Linked DNA regions of Lepisosteus oculatus. The protein of the gene in region 1 binds, or shares a complex with, the protein of each later gene. Links are inferred from orthologs where the notes say so. Each region holds a gene or a part of one and is shown on either strand. Other genes may lie near its edges.

The links.
Region 2: the proteins of beta-arrestin-1 (region 1) and ntsr1 are in contact, whole or in part, in a cryo-EM structure (PDB 6UP7), measured with the Homo sapiens proteins. The link is inferred for Lepisosteus oculatus from reciprocal best matches to the Homo sapiens genes ARRB1 and NTSR1. Residues at the interface, in NP_004032.2 of Homo sapiens: Tyr63, Arg65, Asp67, Leu68, Val70, Leu71, Gly72, Leu73, Thr74, Phe75, Arg76, Lys77, Asn245, Thr246, Ala247, Gln248, Tyr249, Lys250, Lys284, Arg285, Gly286; in NP_002522.2 of Homo sapiens: Ser93, Leu94, Gln95, Ser96, Leu97, Gln98, Thr100, Val101, Arg166, Ile170, Pro173, Lys177, Phe286, Ser287, Met288, Ala289, Ile290, Ala297, Leu298, Gly301, Ser368, Asn370.

Annotation. Positions count from the first base shown.
Region 1 is NC_090700.1:2,564,541-2,573,229, forward strand, and holds the start of beta-arrestin-1, read right to left. Parts: upstream 3,164-8,689; 5' UTR 2,631-3,163; coding exon 2,611-2,630; intron 1-2,610. UniProt on the Homo sapiens protein: Functions in regulating agonist-mediated G-protein coupled receptor (GPCR) signaling by mediating both receptor desensitization and resensitization processes.
Region 2 is NC_090711.1:3,524,339-3,532,922, reverse strand, and holds the start of ntsr1 (neurotensin receptor type 1), read left to right. Parts: upstream 1-5,050; 5' UTR 5,051-5,316; coding exon 5,317-5,988; intron 5,989-8,584. UniProt on the Homo sapiens protein: G-protein coupled receptor for the tridecapeptide neurotensin (NTS). Signaling is effected via G proteins that activate a phosphatidylinositol-calcium second messenger system.

The DNA.
Region 1 (8,689 bases):
ATTAAGAACTCCAGGGACTGATTAATGTGCCTCCATTCTCAGGATGGCATTGAACAGTGAGCTAAGGTGCCTAATCTCTCTGTAGATCTCAGTTTCAAGTGGTAAACACCTTCCTGACCTTTTTTGTTATCATTTTTATTTTCCTTTGCTCATCTATGTTGTTGAATCTGATACTATAGGATCTTGAGCAATCAGCAACCAAATGAGCTAAGAGTTTCCTGTTGTTTGTAGCCTTTCTTCTGTTTTAATTTCTTTCTTGTTGCCTAATTTCTTTCTTGAGGAAAAAGGCCTAGCTAAGGATCAGACATATAGGGAAACAGGTGTTTCTTCTGCCTCACATATGGGTCAGCCTAGGTAAGCTTGCTGCTCCACTTTGACTCCTTTCCTGTTTCTGAAGATGGTGAATAAAGGGCTTTCTTGCTGCCTAAACACTGCTAATGCCGTTGGTGCAAATACTCCTTCAGGTTGGGACAATTTCTCAGTTCTCTGCATTTCTTTGCCCCATCTGTATGTTGAATCTGTCTTGATACTAATATCAGATTTTGATAAGGGCAAGTATTGCTTTTTAGTTCTTTTTATATATAGGTACAGTACAGTATACAGCACTGTCCATATGGAGCAAACAGGAATATAACAACCAGGAATATACAAAAAAAGGCCGCAGTCAAAATCTTTTGACTCTTTAAGTGTATCATCACTCTTGCAAAATACAGATAACATTCTATAAGTACAAGTTAAAACTGTTATGTTTGCTGTACAACATCTGCAATAAGAAACATTTACTTTTGTCATGTAACTTAATCAAAACCCTCAAACAGTGAAAATATAGTAGCTATTGGAACACATTGTTCATAATGGTTTTCCCAGAATTGTTGTGCATCTGCTTCTATGACAAGAATTTCTGAATAGTGTCATGTAATTTAAATGAGCTTTTGGCAAAATATGATCAGTCTGTAAATTATGTCTTTAGTTTTGCAAACCTTGCCATCATTGTAAACACAAAATCAATTTAATCAGGGGTTTGATTGAAAAAGAATGAACAATAATTTGAAGAGGAATAGACTCAAGATGGCTAAACATGAGCTTCACTTCATTAGGTATGAAGCAGCGTTTTTGAGCAATGCATTTCCAGGCAAAATGTCTCACAATGTCTTAGATTAAAGGCTTTTAAAATACCTCCAATTTGTTAAAAGTGAAGTGATTGAGTGAGTGAAACCACACACAGCATCACGAATAAGAACAAAATAAAAATAAGGAATAAATAAAATAGAGAAACAAAGCATTTATCCAGAGACACCTATTTCTTGGCACTTTAAACAAGTGTTGAAAACTGGGCTGTATCAATGGTGAAAGGCTGGAACATTTGCTGAGATGCAGTGTTTGACTACAGCGGTATTCCAAGTTACTTTTGAGCTCACAAGAACAAGAACTTGGACTGAAACAAGTGATGGGCAACCAACCAGAAAGAAGCAAATTGCAAACGCATTCTGCTTCAAGCAAATTGCCCTTTGCATGCCTTTTTCCTTCAGAAAGAGGAGAAATTATGTACAGTAAATCATATTTTGAGTCTCCAATGAAAGTTGTAAATCACTTTGAGTCACTAGTCAGAGCAATTTCTCATTGAAATCGAATGTTTTGCTTTTAATTCCTTAAGTTGTTCAAGTTCTAAAGGAATTTAGTTAAGAAAAGCTTGCCTTACTAATGGGAGATCATGATACAAACATTACATGATGCTATGATCCTTGAAATCTAGGCCTATTGGTGTCGTAGCTGATCTACAGTACAGACCCTCAAACTATCTTAAATCCCATTAGAAGGATGTATCTCCTAGATTCCAGAGAGACCAGTATATCAAAGGGAATGTCAAACAGTTCTGATGGGTGTCTGCCAAAATCTGTGTACCAGAGAAAAAAGTTCCTAATTTTAGAATATCTCACTAGATCACAATGGTTGTTAACCTACAGTGTGAAAAGACATGAAGATATGTGAACATTATCATATAGGTCACTGATAAGAGTATGCTCACTGGCGTCCAAACTTTGAAAAGATAGTTAAACCCAATTTAAATACCTATGTATCCGCATCAGCTTTTTAATGCATCCATTAAAAGGAACACACATAGTGAAGTATCAGTTTTCTGACGGACCCTTGATGAGCTGCTAATTGTGGTGCCATAACAACCTGGCAAATCTAGCACATACATGATTAGTTGTGCACTCCTGCTGGCGGAGCTCTATCAAGGCTTATTATTCCAATACTGATGGTCCTTTATGAGGTTCCATAAAAATACGCAGCAAGCCAGCAAGCATGAGCACTTACAGTCACACAGACCCATAATGAGGGTGTGAGCAGACTAACACGTCTTACTGCATGCTTGCAGAGTGATACATCATTCAACGTTCATGCAAGGAGAGGGGGGACAAAAACTTATACTGCCTTAGGCTGACAAACAAAAGACTGCATCAAGAACAACACAATTACGACATCAAAGGATTTAATTTGGCATATGTTATATGAATGTACGCTACTATACATAGAAAACCACATATGAACTAAAGCCCAATAGAATACATGAATAATAAATACGACCCATGTCAAAGAAATCCTTACCTTGTACCTTTATCGCCCATTGTCAGGCTTGCTGTGTTGCTGAGAGCAGCCTTCAGTCTTAGTTCCAATGTTCAAGGAGGAGACTAGTCTGCTATACGGAAAAGGATGCAAGAGGTCTTGCTTATGTTTAGGCAGCCACTTAGAATGTGCACGTAAATGCAAGTGGAGCTCCTGTTAAACTGCTTTTTTGTGCTGTTAACACTCCTCTCCCTGTGAATGAAATTAAACAGCGTCCCTGTTGTTCTTTTAAAATATAAATTGTTAGAATTTCCTCTTGATCTTCCTCTTGCTCCCCTTCGTCTAGTATATATGGCTAGTATTGTTGAATTGCAGTGTAAATCCAGATACGCAGATTAAAGCTTCTGTGCAGCCAGAATCCTCCAGATTACTCTTATTAATGTGAATCCTCCATCAGAGTTCCGTTCTAGCTCTTTGCCTCCCTTTCTCTGCTGCTCTGTATCCCTCCCTCTCTCACTCAATCTGTGTGTGTGTGTGTGGTGTCTGCGTGTGTGCCGGTCAGGATGAAACATCCCTCTCATTCAAGCCACAGCCTCCCTTGCTCAGCTTAAAACTACAATGCTGAGGAAAGGCAGCAAAAAAAAAAAATACAGCAGTCACATGCTGACCTGACTGCAGGTCAGTGAAGGAAAAGTGCTGGATGGGATTAACTTGAGTTTTGATATTCACACCATTGTATTAAATCCATGGTCTGTTGTGTCACAGTGCATCTCTCCAACAATAAATTGGGCTCACCTATCTCTGTCATTTCAATTGATAGTGTGCCAAACAGACTGCATGACTGCAAGTCACCTTGAGGATGTAGGGGATAATGTCATGGAAGATGATACACATCATATGCATAGTTTGCAAACCTCTGTGAGAAATATGTTAATTGACTAGCGCATAGCACACCAGGGGAATCGCATAGCACAAACCTTTACAGGCTGAATATCATGGTTTTCACCATGACCATGATTACCAGCAGTAAGACAGCTATTCAAAGACGAGATTAAATTAAAGTTTGATTTCTCCGATTGAGTCTGATTAAACCGTATCAGTTTTAAGTGTAATTTCTTTAAACAAACAGCAAAGAAAAAAGGCAGCAAGCTACTGTATAGGCTAAGGAACAGAAGGTCACTCTGGATTAAAGTATCAAATGCATACGGACCAAGGACCTTACACTGTGGAGAAAGAATGAATGGGGCTGCCATGAACACCCCTTGGAGGCCATGTAATGTGTCTGGTTCATCACTCAAACATCACAATTGCTGTGTGTTCTATGGTCCATGGTTACAGATACATAAATGCTTGAATTTAGCAGAAATTTAACTTCATGTATTGATGCATCATATAGGAATGTGTGTGTGTGTGTGTGTGTGGGGGGGGGGGGGGGTGTGAGCTATCCATAAGTTCAATGCAACAAGTCACAGTTATCTAATATAGATTATGAATTCATGTGATGTAGGCATGACACAGATAATGAAAAGATACCCATTTGATACAATTGGTTTATAAAACTAAACACAGTACCATGCCAAATATAATTTTACTCTATTATCTAGTGCAGATCCATCGTTTTATATTTATTTTAATTTAATATTCAAAACCCTGTGGGGGAAAAAAACAAGCACAAAACATTCAATTTAATTGAGTATCTTTTTTTCTTGTGCACCAACCTTCACAGAGCAGCAACCCACACAGAACTATTGTCAGCGTGCAAAGCAGCTTTTCTACCGTAAAGACAGTGCCTTCTTGAGCAATCAATATTTTCACTAATTCCAGCAAACAAAGCTGTCAAACACAGGTTTTGTGTTCCGTAAGTTGTCATTTCTTTCTCAGCACTCATTTTCAGTCAATGACAAAGACTTTGACCTTGGATTTTTGCAGCAGTGAATGTACTGTGTAGAGAGTTTTTCAAAACGCCCTAGGCAAGCACAAAAAAAGTGCTACAGCATTGTATGACACATAGAATATGACCCACTCACGTTAAAATGTACACCAGCATTGTCATAAGCTAGGAAGCCTTAAGAAGTGCCACATTTTCCTTAATACTTCTTTTTTCAGCCTCACATCTAGATCCTACAGTAAACCATAACATAATTTATAAATATGATTTCCACGCAAACAGCATCTTTTCTCATTTGCAATTAGATTATGCCACACAAAATTCATAAAAAGCTTCCAAAACTCATCTGTTGCGTGGCAATTCTCTGTTCACAGGTAGCTCTACATTTCAAGTGTTGGCTCAATCCCCTTTCATCAAAGGGTGAAACTGTGAGCCATGCTTTCTTTTTGGCATTCAGATTACATTTTAATCTTAGCAGGTCATTGAAATTCCCAGTGGTCAAGTGTGCATTGGAATATTGGGCTTTGTGTCTCCCAAACTTAAATCCAGATTTGTCCTCCATATACAATACAATATAACATCCCAGAGCATATATTCAATTCTCTTTGTATATTTTTAATAATTATATATTTTCACTATCCTAATAATCGTAGACTTTCACATCACTTGCAACAGGTGTTTTTAGAAATGTAACAGTACAGTAAGTCATAGCTCACTGCCCTGCCCAGTTCAGTTAAAAAACCTGTTACTCCAGATGCTTTTCCACAGTTGTAGAGCAATGAATATCAGCTCTCACATATTGATCATAAGAGAGATTTTAAAGACCCAGAACTGCACAATAATCAAAACAGATTGACACAGGTGGCGTTGTCATTGACCTCCAGATATCAGCATCAGTTGTTATCTTTAAAACATCTGGAGTATATTTACCTGATGTCACAACCTCCTTACGTTTTTATCAGCAGGTATATTTGACTTAACAGATTTAGCTTTGAATGTACAGCCACACATTGATCAGTGTGTTCAAGAAAACTGTAATTTACATACAGTATGTAAGTGGGGAAAATGGCTATGAATACTAGGTTTGTTTTTAATCGTCAAGGAAAAGCAGTCACAAAAGATGCATATTGACATCTGCAGTCAGAAAGGCCAAGATTATTACACTGGGGAGAAAAGATTTTTATCTTTTATCAATTTAACAAGAAAGCAAGCTGAAGTCTTTCATTTTAAATGCCTACAGTGGGAGACAGTGAGATACAGATCAATGACAAGATGACTTTCAGGTCAACATCCAAGTACTGTGTTTAAAAATTATAATCCTTTCTCTACGTATTAAGCCAACAAAGAAAAATTCTTGCTCTGTAAATGATTCCCAGTATTAACAAAATCATATCTCAGATACACTCTGGTAAAAAAAATTGAGACTCGTTTTTGACACTATAATGGGTCATTCACTTTAAAAACAAAAACAATTTTTTTATGAAATACAACATCTTAGAGCAATCATGGTCTTTATTGCGTGTCAACAAGATACAGATTATATCCTATGGTCTTTATTTACTAAAGAAACAAACATAAAGAAGAAAGTGCAAATAGGTGTGCTGCCTAATTAATATCAAAATAATCGCAGTATAATGCTTCCTTTGCAGAATAATCTTTTTCAAATGCCCTTGTACCTCATACACTATAAAACCAAGCTGTAATTTTAACAAAATATCAGCAATAAATTCAGAGAATGAAAAGGCAGCAGTAGCAGCATGAACAATGGACAGTTCATGATAATATAATTTTATTTATAACCCTTTTTCTTCAAACTGAAACCTCTGTGCAATAGCACACAACATATGCAAAAGGCAGGTCTGAGTTTCGGGAGTGTCAACAGTGACAGTCTCTAATGGGACTGTGCAGTGAGCACCACAGACGTGGCGATGCACACGAGAGGCCCTGGCACTCACAGTTGAGTTCGTTCTTCGGCAGAGCTGTAGTACAAGTTTTGGTTCCTGTTATTCATTCTTTCCTCGGAGTCCTCTCTACTTTTAAGGGCTGATTTGCTCGTCTCAGTATCATTTCAGAGTGCAGCCCATCTGCTCAGGAAAGATTCCCTTCAAATCCTGGTGGCTACTTGCAGTCTGCTGGTTGAGGAAAATCGCTCTCATGTGTGTCAACATGTTTGAGAGGATTCTTTTAACGACAGACAGCGCGGCCCCAGTCCGTCAACCACAGAAGTAATCATGATACTGAGAACCCGTTTGGGAGTTCTCAGGAACAGCAGAAACCTTTAGTATAAAGCTGGTTTTCAGTTTATTTTCTTTATAAAACAATTAAGGTAACATTTCCTGTCCTACATGTGCCTCAGTTTACTGGATTTGTAAAACACCCTCTATCTCTGAAGTGTGATTGTGGTTTCGTCTTTGCACTTTATTGCAAATTCTTAAAAAATGCTCTGTGTGGTACGACTTGCCCCCATCCAGAAGCAAAGAAAACTTGTTTATAGGTTGAAGATCTACAAAATAACAAAATACAAAATCGCTAAATGGATGTGTGGCTTTCCTGTTGGGCACAGGGCTGTACCACAAAAGTGCTGGAGCTTTTCAGTTATGTTAATTACCCTTTTCAGAGCCATTAAAGATATTCAGCATGCTGGAGTGCAGTCAGGCATGATAATGATATTATATACAATCTACAAGTAACAATCCTTCTTTGTCTGGTGTAGTGCTCAGCAATGTTTTGCAAGGATGTTACAATAAATGATAAATATTCCCAACTGAATATGTTTTTAACATTTAGGGTACCATGATGCAAGAACAACAATTCTTAAAAAAGAGTTTTTGTTTTTAACAAAGTGTATTAAAATTCAAGATATCAGAAACATTAATATCTAACCTTTATGCTACAAAAACAAAGAAACATTCCTATAATGTAGTTTTGCTCTCTTGTGTAGTTTTAGTTTTTACAGAAATATCAATGGATTCATGTAAAACATAACAATATTCACATTATGGCTGATAGGGGTAGTTTTCAAGATACAATCATATATAATTGTAATCACTGTAATATGCAAAGGAAAAAGTTCACTGAAGAAGGCTCCACAGCCGAAACATTGTTTTTTTTCTTCTCTTTTCAGCATGGAATAAACCTTTACTTGTTCCTTTGCAGCTTACACATGCTGAGGCAGCTCTCTACTTGAATCGCTGTAATATATCTTGTTTATAAGTATACATCTTTGATACCCATGGCTTAAATGGAACCAAGTAAAAAAATGAAAAAAAAACAATATAAAAACAAAATATTGATAATATTAAAGAAACCTAAATCTGTAGGTTTTTTTCAGTAACTTTACTGAAGTATTAGCAAGCAAACATCTATATTCTAACTGCATCCGCTAGTCCCTTCCAATCTGCTTTTTCTACCCCAATTTTACCCCTCCCCCAAAAGAAAATCACTTTTTAGCAAAGGTGATTTCTTAATTAAGGCCACTTAATTTCTTTATAATAATTCCTTAGCCATGACCTTCTCAAATATTATTGCACATGCATTAACAATACACAACAGCAATGGAATCCTAGAGAGTTACTGAAATCCAGTCCTTTGACTTCACCTACAGAATACTGCAAGTGTCACATTGCACCTGGGTGATTATTTTCGGAGAAAGATTTGGAAAATATTCCCTGCATTTGCATCAGCGTTTACCGTTTTAGTCTACAGTGCACTCCATCTTCCCGCTATTCCCACCTCTTCTCAGGGATTGATAAATTTCCTTAAAGGTAAAAATGTGCTGAGATGGCAAACTCTGCCGTTTCTCCAGGCAGCATGGGTGGAGAGCCCTGGATCACAGCCCAGAATCATGTGCAATATTACCAGAGGTTTATGGCTGCCCAGGGAACTCGTCAAATGAAGCATTCTGTGTCTAAGTGTGGGTCTATTCAACCGATGTGGTACTTTAGCAGAGCAATATCTTTTTCATAGTGCTCAAATATTTCAAATAGTGTTGATTTCTGTAATAATGGCACTTCTGAATGGAAGACACATCTAATAATAAAATCTATCAAAAGCAGAGGAAAAATGTTTACCAACATGTTGGAAAACCTAAGCTTTCAAAAGAGCAGTAAAAATAATAAGTACAAACTTAATAAATTTGGCTTAAATAATAGAAAAAAAATAGTTAATTTATCCTCTGGGCCACATGGTCATCCTAAAGATTTTATTATCACTCACAGAAAGAGTGAAAAGAGT
Region 2 (8,584 bases), on another chromosome or scaffold:
TAAACAAGCTACACTTCTTAATTCATGTCCTGAGTGCATGTCTTCTGGCTTGCAGAATTCTTGCAAATGACTGTTTATTGTCTCTGTAGATTTCTATGGCTTTATAGTTGATTCCCTGGCTCTAGAAAGCAGAACACAGTGATACAGGATTAAACAAGCTGAGAAATGAGCACCCAGGAGGGTAGGAATTATTAGTCAATCTGAGACTGCGCTCTCTGCGTAGATGTGTTAAATGGCATTTCTGGAGACCAATGTGCCTCCAAGTGTCAGAAGGGAAAGCTGCGAGGAGGATGTTTGTCAGTCATTTTCAGTGTTGCTCTGATCCCTGGATTTTCCAAACTAATCTCTACTGAAAAGGGAAAAGTAGTGATTAGGCACATGTCTGTTGCCATGTTCTAGAGATTAATTAACCAGTACAAAGTACAAGGCACAAAAAGAGATTTTTGACTGTATGTCAAAAAGACTTGGACCATGGAATATAATAGTAACAATCCCACAATGCTGCATTCTTTGAATTGTTCTTTTATACAGTAAGCGCTTGGTAAGTCAAATTAAATAAATCAAGCTCTCCTTTCTCTCCCATTACATTGATTGTTCTGTGGCATTAAATGTCTGCAAACCTGTAAAAAGCTTAGCGTTTGGTGAGTGAATTCCAGTTACTCTTGCTGTCATAATCTGAACACCCTCAGCAGTAGAGGTGCACAGAACTGAAACGACAAACAACACGAAATATTGAATAAACTGAAAAGATGTCAATACAGCTCAAGTTTTGTTTAGCAGCACACATTGCTGCCTTTGATTCATGACACCTGCTGAAATCTCAAAATGACTAAATGAGGCAGCTGATCATAAGTAACTCCACCCAGACCTTTGTGGCAAACCTGGTGCTGTAGCTTTCAACGTGCTCATGCTGAGCACCCTCTGCTGTGTGCACACCACACAGCGGGGGTCGTGGGGCCGGACTGAACTCGGATCAAAACAATTCTCATTCGGCAGGCTTTGACCCTCAGGGCAAACGGGTCACCACGAGGAACACACTCCCCCGGGGCTGTGGAGGACTGCGCCCAGCCTCATGCTGCTGAGTGAGTGAAGCCGGGGCTGGCCAGCGCAGCATCCTCAGGAGGGCGCTGTGACCGTGCGGCGTTCCTCGGGGTCACACTGGTGAACCCGACCAAATTCTTCAGTGCCAGGGCGCGTGGTTTTCTCGATAGGGCTGCTGGAATAGCGTCAACCAGCTCCTTCATCATTCGTAGCAGCGGCCTCACCACCCAAGCAGCCGGCCATGAGGGGTCCAGACATGGACCCAGACACTGTCGCCTCGAACCTGGGTCACAACAGACAGAGCCGGTTTACCCGGCCAGTACAGATTCCAAAATGATGGAGGGGCCAGGGAGGGAGAATTCTAAAGTAGAGAATCATTGAGGCATTTAATGTCAAATAAATGGATGTAAATTGCTCGCCCTCTGATATGTCTTCTGACTCATCTGGCTGTGCCTGGAGTACCGTAATTACTGTAGCCACCGGGGCTGGGAAGGCCGGGGGACAGGCCTGACAGATTAACGAAGCAGTGAAACCCTTTGACGTACGGAGTATAAATGGTATCAAACACGGGTGAAGCGATGACTCATTCGTTTTTTTCCCCATCCTTGACTGGACGCTGGAACACTGCTGCTTTCAACTCACTGACAGCCTACTGTGGGCGGTTAGACAATAAAAAATAAATATTATAACCCCCACCCCCCCCCCAAGGTCTTTTTTGTTCCTGTTCTGCTGTATTTCACACTTTGGTTTGTCCTATTCCCATGAGCATCCCGAAAGCTAACCTAGAATTCCTAACCAGCTCCGGAATACCGGAATATAGTACGGCCTCGTTGTGAGAGAGAAAGCCAGGAGCCGATGGACCACTGCAAGCCGAGAACTCAGGTGTCAAGACACCTTTTCCTTTTCAGTTCTAAGAAAACTGGTTCAGCTCAATCTAATACCCCCGTTGATTCAGTTCGAGAGCGGTACTCACTTGACTTGCTGTGGTTGGGCTGCAGACACCAGAGAGCTTGTGTTTGAGGCGTGTTAACAAGTTCATTTCACAGCCGTCGGAGTGATGGGCATTTTAGGTACACCACTTGAAGTGTGACTTTTTTTTCTGGTACTGGATTCCAGTGCTTATTTCCGATCACATGGTTTCCATTAATTCCTTTTGGGAGGAGATTCAGTTAATTACAACCACAAAACTGGTCTGATCACCAACCACGATGACCAAAGTTAGTTGCTCCTGTATTCAGGTCTCAACGGGACAGATGTGGTTGTCATTAGGTGACACTGGTGACTCATCCCAGTTTGACTCGCATTTCATTCCGCTAATGATCAAATTTAACCCCTGGCACGCATGTTGTTTTATTGTTGCACTTCTACCACTGTCTGAACATGAGATCTTCCAACACATAATGTCAGCACAATATTATACGTATGGTATCCCAATGGTGCAGTTTCAGTGACAATTCCAATGGCTTGCAGAAGTCATTGAAGATCCATACCGCATTGAATTCTGTCTCATAATTTACAAACAACAAAAAAAGGACTAAATATGACGTAACAGGAGAAAATGATACATGAAGAAAACACACCTGAAGCCATATGCCCAGTTCAGTAAAGGAAGAATCACTTATTTATCAATGTTTATAGGCAGATGCAGCTCACCTGTGCCACCAGACCACTCCTGCAACCCGTCACCTCAAAATGACGAATGTGTCCGTGTTCAGTTTCTCAGAATACACTTCTCAGCGAGCTAACTCACGGCGAGTTTTACACCGGGTCCTGTTCTGGCTGCAAGCTAGTGGCAGGTTAGGGCCCCTGGACCCCGACTGGAAAGCTGTGGGCTCGAATCCTGGGTGGGCTCCAGCTGTTGCATCCTGGGAGAAGGACGTCTCTCCAGCTTCCCCAGCCGAAGGCTTGACTGTATCGGTGGGTTAGCTAGAGCAATGGCCATCACAATGTACTTACTAAATTACTACTAATTCTAGTAAATAAATTCCTTAAAATGAAGCCACTTAGGTGTCTTAAATGATTAGTACTGTATTAAATCCCCTTGCTTAGTGTCCTAACATATCCCAGCTGACCCTGTGCTAATTTTGTGTCTGTGACTAAATACACTGGGTAAAGAAAGATACTGCCTTTTAGATTGGGCATTTCCCAATATCATAAATCATTGATTTTGCAATAAATATACTTACCAAAACAATTGTGGGAAAGTAGTGGACAAGATGGGAGAGACCAAAGCACTGATGTAATTTGTGGGAAACACACTGACAAAGTGTCAAATCCTTCATCTACCCTTCCTGTTTCAGGGGAATGTTTATTGAATCGGAACATTTTCCATTCGTTTCTTTTTAGGCTCTATTTAAAAAAAAACAGGGCTCATGTTAAATACACCACCAGGCAACTCCCAGCTGTGGGTGGCCCTGTGCTAGAAACTTTCTTTGCAAACCACCAGGATGGGGGAAGGAACGGGAACAGAGATCAGATCATGACAGAAGAGCCATTTGCTCATGCTACTGAAACTCGAGCACTAGAGCCGGTGAGTGCTCACACGCGCATTCAAACCCCACGTTCGGGGATGAAAGCCGTTCCCATCTTCACACATCAAGAGCATTTACATCAGCCTAGACGTCCTCAGGCATGCTGGAGCACTTATTCCAGCTTGGCAGGACCTGCTGGACTGGAAGATGCTCTCAACTCGTTGTCCCTCCTGTGGGGGGTGCCGAGAACTCACTTCTACCGCCTCCTTCTCGGCGCGCAAAGGAGAGAAATTCTGCGCGCCGCGTCCGAGATGGACAGGCAGGGTTTTCTGAAGAACAGCTGGTTGTGACCACGAGTGTGTCCTTTTCAATTCGGTATTGAAAGACAATCCCGGGAGAGCCAGGGTATTGAAAACAGGCGAATGGCTGTTTGTGTGTGTGTGTCAAGGATGAGTTTTATAATTCACGCACGCTGTTCTCTAGAAAGTGGGGCAGGACAGGTATTACAGTTGCTATGGCTAATTAGCAAGCAGTGAGGACGCTCAGCCTGAGCACGGCAGCATTCTTCCACATACCCTCAAACGGTTAAACCACATCAATCCTAAAGAGTGCTCTTCGGCTTTTAAACCGCAGAGAACAAGGTTTCGACTCTTAACTATGGGTGCTGCAAAAGGAGGTTGTGTAGAAATGATCACATTGTCATTTTTCTCCCCGGGTATGGGCGTTAAAGAAAAAAAGCGTACAAGGCCGGAATGTGAAATTTTGTAACAGTGGTTTTACTTTCAATTCAGACTTGAACACTCAAATAGTAGAGATGCTTATTTGCTGTATCGGTTAAGCCCAGATGTCCGGGGTATTGCTGGTTTGAGTCTGGACAGTCAGCCAGCAGTGAGAGGGATTTTTCAGAAAAATTTATTCGAATTCCGCTTGCAGGGTTATCGTCGATTTAGGGCAAACGGGCACGTCTGTGACTCGCCTGGCACCTCTCATTCTGGGTGCGAATCGGCGCTCACTGTCTCGTAGACCCTGTAAGACTCACAAAGTCAAAAGAAGGACGATAGACGCCGAAAAAAAGGCACACCTCCCGAGGAACAAAACTGAGCTCTGCGGGTGATGTTTTAAAGTATCCTTGTTGTTACAAAAACACAAATGTTATTATCCTTTTGTTACTTGGGAAAACGTGAGTTTAAATACAAATATGAACAAGAAAGCTAAGATGCCGTTGATAAGACAGATCTGAGGCAGACGCAACACTGTGTCGCCAAGTAGTAATATTGTCCTCTGTTCGCATTCGTTTCTCCAAGTACGCATTACTAATTATAGCTTTCAGGTTGAAAAAAAAAACTCATCGTTGTTCACCAGAAAGACAGGGTTTCATCTTTAGATCAGCATCGATGCAACAAATGGACAGTAAATAACAGTATGTACCTAAAGTATAAGAAACCGCCCTGCATATAGAATCGTTGTCGTTTAACATTTAATTTTTAAAGGTGTTTGCGATTCTTTGGGGGGGGGGAGGGGGGTGTATCTGAGGAAACCTGGTTATATAAAACAGGGAAACGATCAGACTTCATGAATGAAGTGGTTTGCGTCAGTGCCCGAGGTCTGAGCAGAGAGGCAGCGCGCCTCCTCCTCCGCCAGATAAAAAGCCAACTTCTGGGGGAGCGGCGCTCTGGGCTGCGCTGAACACCGCCGAGCGCTCCCTGCCTCTCTCCGCGCCGTCCGCCCCGCGTTCCCCGGGAAAAAAAGGGAGGAGGAGGAGGAGGAGAAGCAGAAGAAGAAAAAGAAGTTGCCCGGCCACACAATGGACGAGACCTCCACGCTGCTGGGCCGAAACTTCTCCCGGGACTTCCAGATGCTCAGCCAGTACCTGCTGGCGGCGGCCGGGAACGCCTCGCGCCCGGCGAACGCGACGCCCGGGGAGCACGAGGAGGACAGCCTGGACGTCAGCACGGACATCTACTCCAAGGCTCTGGTCACCGCCATTTACATCGCCCTGTTCGTCGTCGGCTCCCTGGGCAACTCCATCACGCTGTACACCCTGGTCAGGAGGAAGACCTTGCAGAACCTCCAGAGCACGGTGCATTACCACCTGGCCAGCCTGGCGGTGTCCGACATCCTCATCCTGCTCCTCTGCATGCCCATAGAGCTGTACAACTTCATCTGGGTCCACTACCCGTGGGCTTTTGGGGGAGCCGTTTGCAAAGGGTATTACTTCTTGAGAGACGGCTGCTCCTACGCCACGGCGCTCAACATCGCCAGCCTCAGCGTGGAGAGGTACATGGCCATCTGCCACCCCTTCAAGGCCAAAAGCATCATGTCCAGGAGCAGAACAAAAAAGCTGATCAGCGCTATCTGGGTGGCGTCGTTTCTCCTGGCGACCCCCATGCTGTTCACCATGGGCCAGACTTACACCAACAACGTTCAAATCTGCACCACCATAGTCTCCACGCACACGGCCAAGATCGTCCTGCAGGTGAGTGAAAGGGACTTCGCGACAAGACAAGAAACCCCCCAAAACAAAAAAGCGCTTTTCTCGCACCCGAGCCACCAGCTCAGCTCCGGGCGAATCGAGTGGAGAAACACGGTGGCGCGTAAAAACAGTCGGTCGACTGTCCTAAACCTGTTCTGTAACATTCATAACACAGTTACGTAGTATTTGGGTAGTGTTATTAAACTCTAACAACGATAATAAGTCATAAGTAGAGTCGGTAAGACATTTTTTAAACATTATCCCGCGCCAAGGACTACCTGTTGCTTGTTTAACTTTTACCACATCTTTAAAAAAATAAAACGATCGTCAGAAAACGCCGGCATGTACCGTTAACGTTGCGGGCAGCAGGAACGGCCCCAGCGGAACCGCACGACTCCCGGGCCCAGCCGCTGAGGCAGTGCGGCCGGCACTGCGCCACTTCCACACGGCCCGGACTCGACAGACTTGGAGAGAGCTCCGTCGCTCTGTTCAGTACGGGTGTCCTTTAAACAACCCGGTAAGAGTAAAAAAAAAAAAGTCCAGATTTATAGAAAAGACATGAAGCAGATCTGGACTGTCTGAATCCAACAGAAACACACAGATACCTCAGTACTTGACACTTATTCTCCCCACCAAGACACGCTCTACGTGACGTTTACTGTTTAAAACGAAACGGAAGAATGTGCTCAATGGGTATAATTAATGTCATTACAGTCGAGAGTGCTTCAATTACACCTGCCTGCGCCGCGGTTTCTGGTGGTACAGTACATGTCGTGTATCGCGCTGTGTGATGGAGGAAACTGGTAAAAAAATAAAATAATCATTCTTCTTTAATACATAGAACAAGTCGTGTGGTCTTGTAATATATGGAAAAAATAGATTGGCTTACTTAAGAAATATTTATGCACCGTTGTTAGTTTTAGGTTTGGTTTTCTGTTTTCTAAAACGACCCTTAGAAGTCACCTAAAATTTGAAAGATAAAAATGTCCAGTCGTTATTTTTAAATATGTTCACTTCTCGTCGTACAGGAGATTTTCCCCATTCTAACAGGAATAATATTTACCCTTGACAGATCACACCTTCTGTATAAATTATCGCAAAATGTTGGTCCCGAAAATGAAAAAAACAACAAAAAAACAACACAATTAATGCTACTGTAAGTGCGTCGAAACTGTGCTGTTAGAAGACACAGCCATCCAGCCCTGCGCAGCACAGAGCGCACTTCAGGAATGTTCTCCGGCTGGGTCACGTCGTGGACATTAGAACTACCGATTATGCGTTACAATTGCCCAGAAAGCAATAGCCACAACAATAAAACATAATATATTACAATAGATTTTACCCTGTGCAATAAGCAATATTCACAAATGCGTTCTTGCTCACAAAGTCATCCCATCACAGTGCGTGGTATGGGATACATTGCACTTTGCACACACGGGCTGGGAGCATTTCAATTACATCCACGATGTCAGAGTGTTCTGATGAGATTGTTTTGACAGATATACACCTTAACCCTGACGTGGCAGTAGGAGCTTGGCTCTGCTGTGCGGCCACCAGAGATTCAGAGTTTGGACCGCCTGAAGTCTGCAATACAGTGGAGGCTGAGCTCGAAGCAGCATTCTTCCCCATTTTAAAACCCACACTCTGTGTGCAGGAGAGGGAAAGCAGACAGCCCGCTTGGCTCGGCTGTATTTTTCATGGGGAATGTTGGAATTGTGTTCCTGCGCAGGGAGAGATCTCCAAAGGAAAAGATGAGGTTGTCTAGGTGACAAGATCTGCGTTTCTGTTGAGCCGATGCAGGCAGGCAGCGAAATACTGTACCTTTGAAATGTTTCCAATTTCACAAGTGCTTCACTGCTGTGTTTTAATGCTCAGCGTGTAAGAAATGTAAAAGCAGAACAGCAGTGTAGAGGGTAAAATCAACTCACAGAAGAGTTTTAGAAGCCCTGTAACACAGGCATTGCAGCACCCAGGGGGTAGACTGCCAAATCGCTTTCAAAAACCTCTTATCCAGTACAGGGTCGCGGAAAAGCCAGAGCCTATCACAGGAAGCAACGGGCACAGGGCAGGGTACACCCTGGGTTGCACGCCAGTCTATCCCACGGCACACACACTCACACCAGGGCCAGTTTTCCCAGAAGCCAATTAAACTACCCAGCAACAAAGCCGGAGCACCCATAGGAGACCCATGCAAACACGGGGATAACATACAGACCCAACGCAGACAGCACCCCAGCGCTGTGCCACTGCGCCACGAGCTCGAATCCTTTTCTACAGACAACCTTCTCAAAAAATGTCAAGATTTAGCGTTTTTTTTGGGGTGTAACTGGAATATGCTTCATTTCAAACGACTTTCCGAAACTAGCCAGTCACTGTACCTGCAGTCATGGGAGGGTGAGACTTTTACAGTACAGTAGCCACTGCGGATCTGACAAGGTCGAAGCTGGAGCCTGGACTTCTGGTGCTAAAGCATTCTTACCTGTCATTGCTCTTCGTTTACCTGCTCCTTTTTCTTGGTTTCCATGTATTTTTGAGCATTTGTACCACATTTGAATTGTGCTTTGAAGGAAAGCATTTTGTGAAGGCTGTTCTCCCTGAA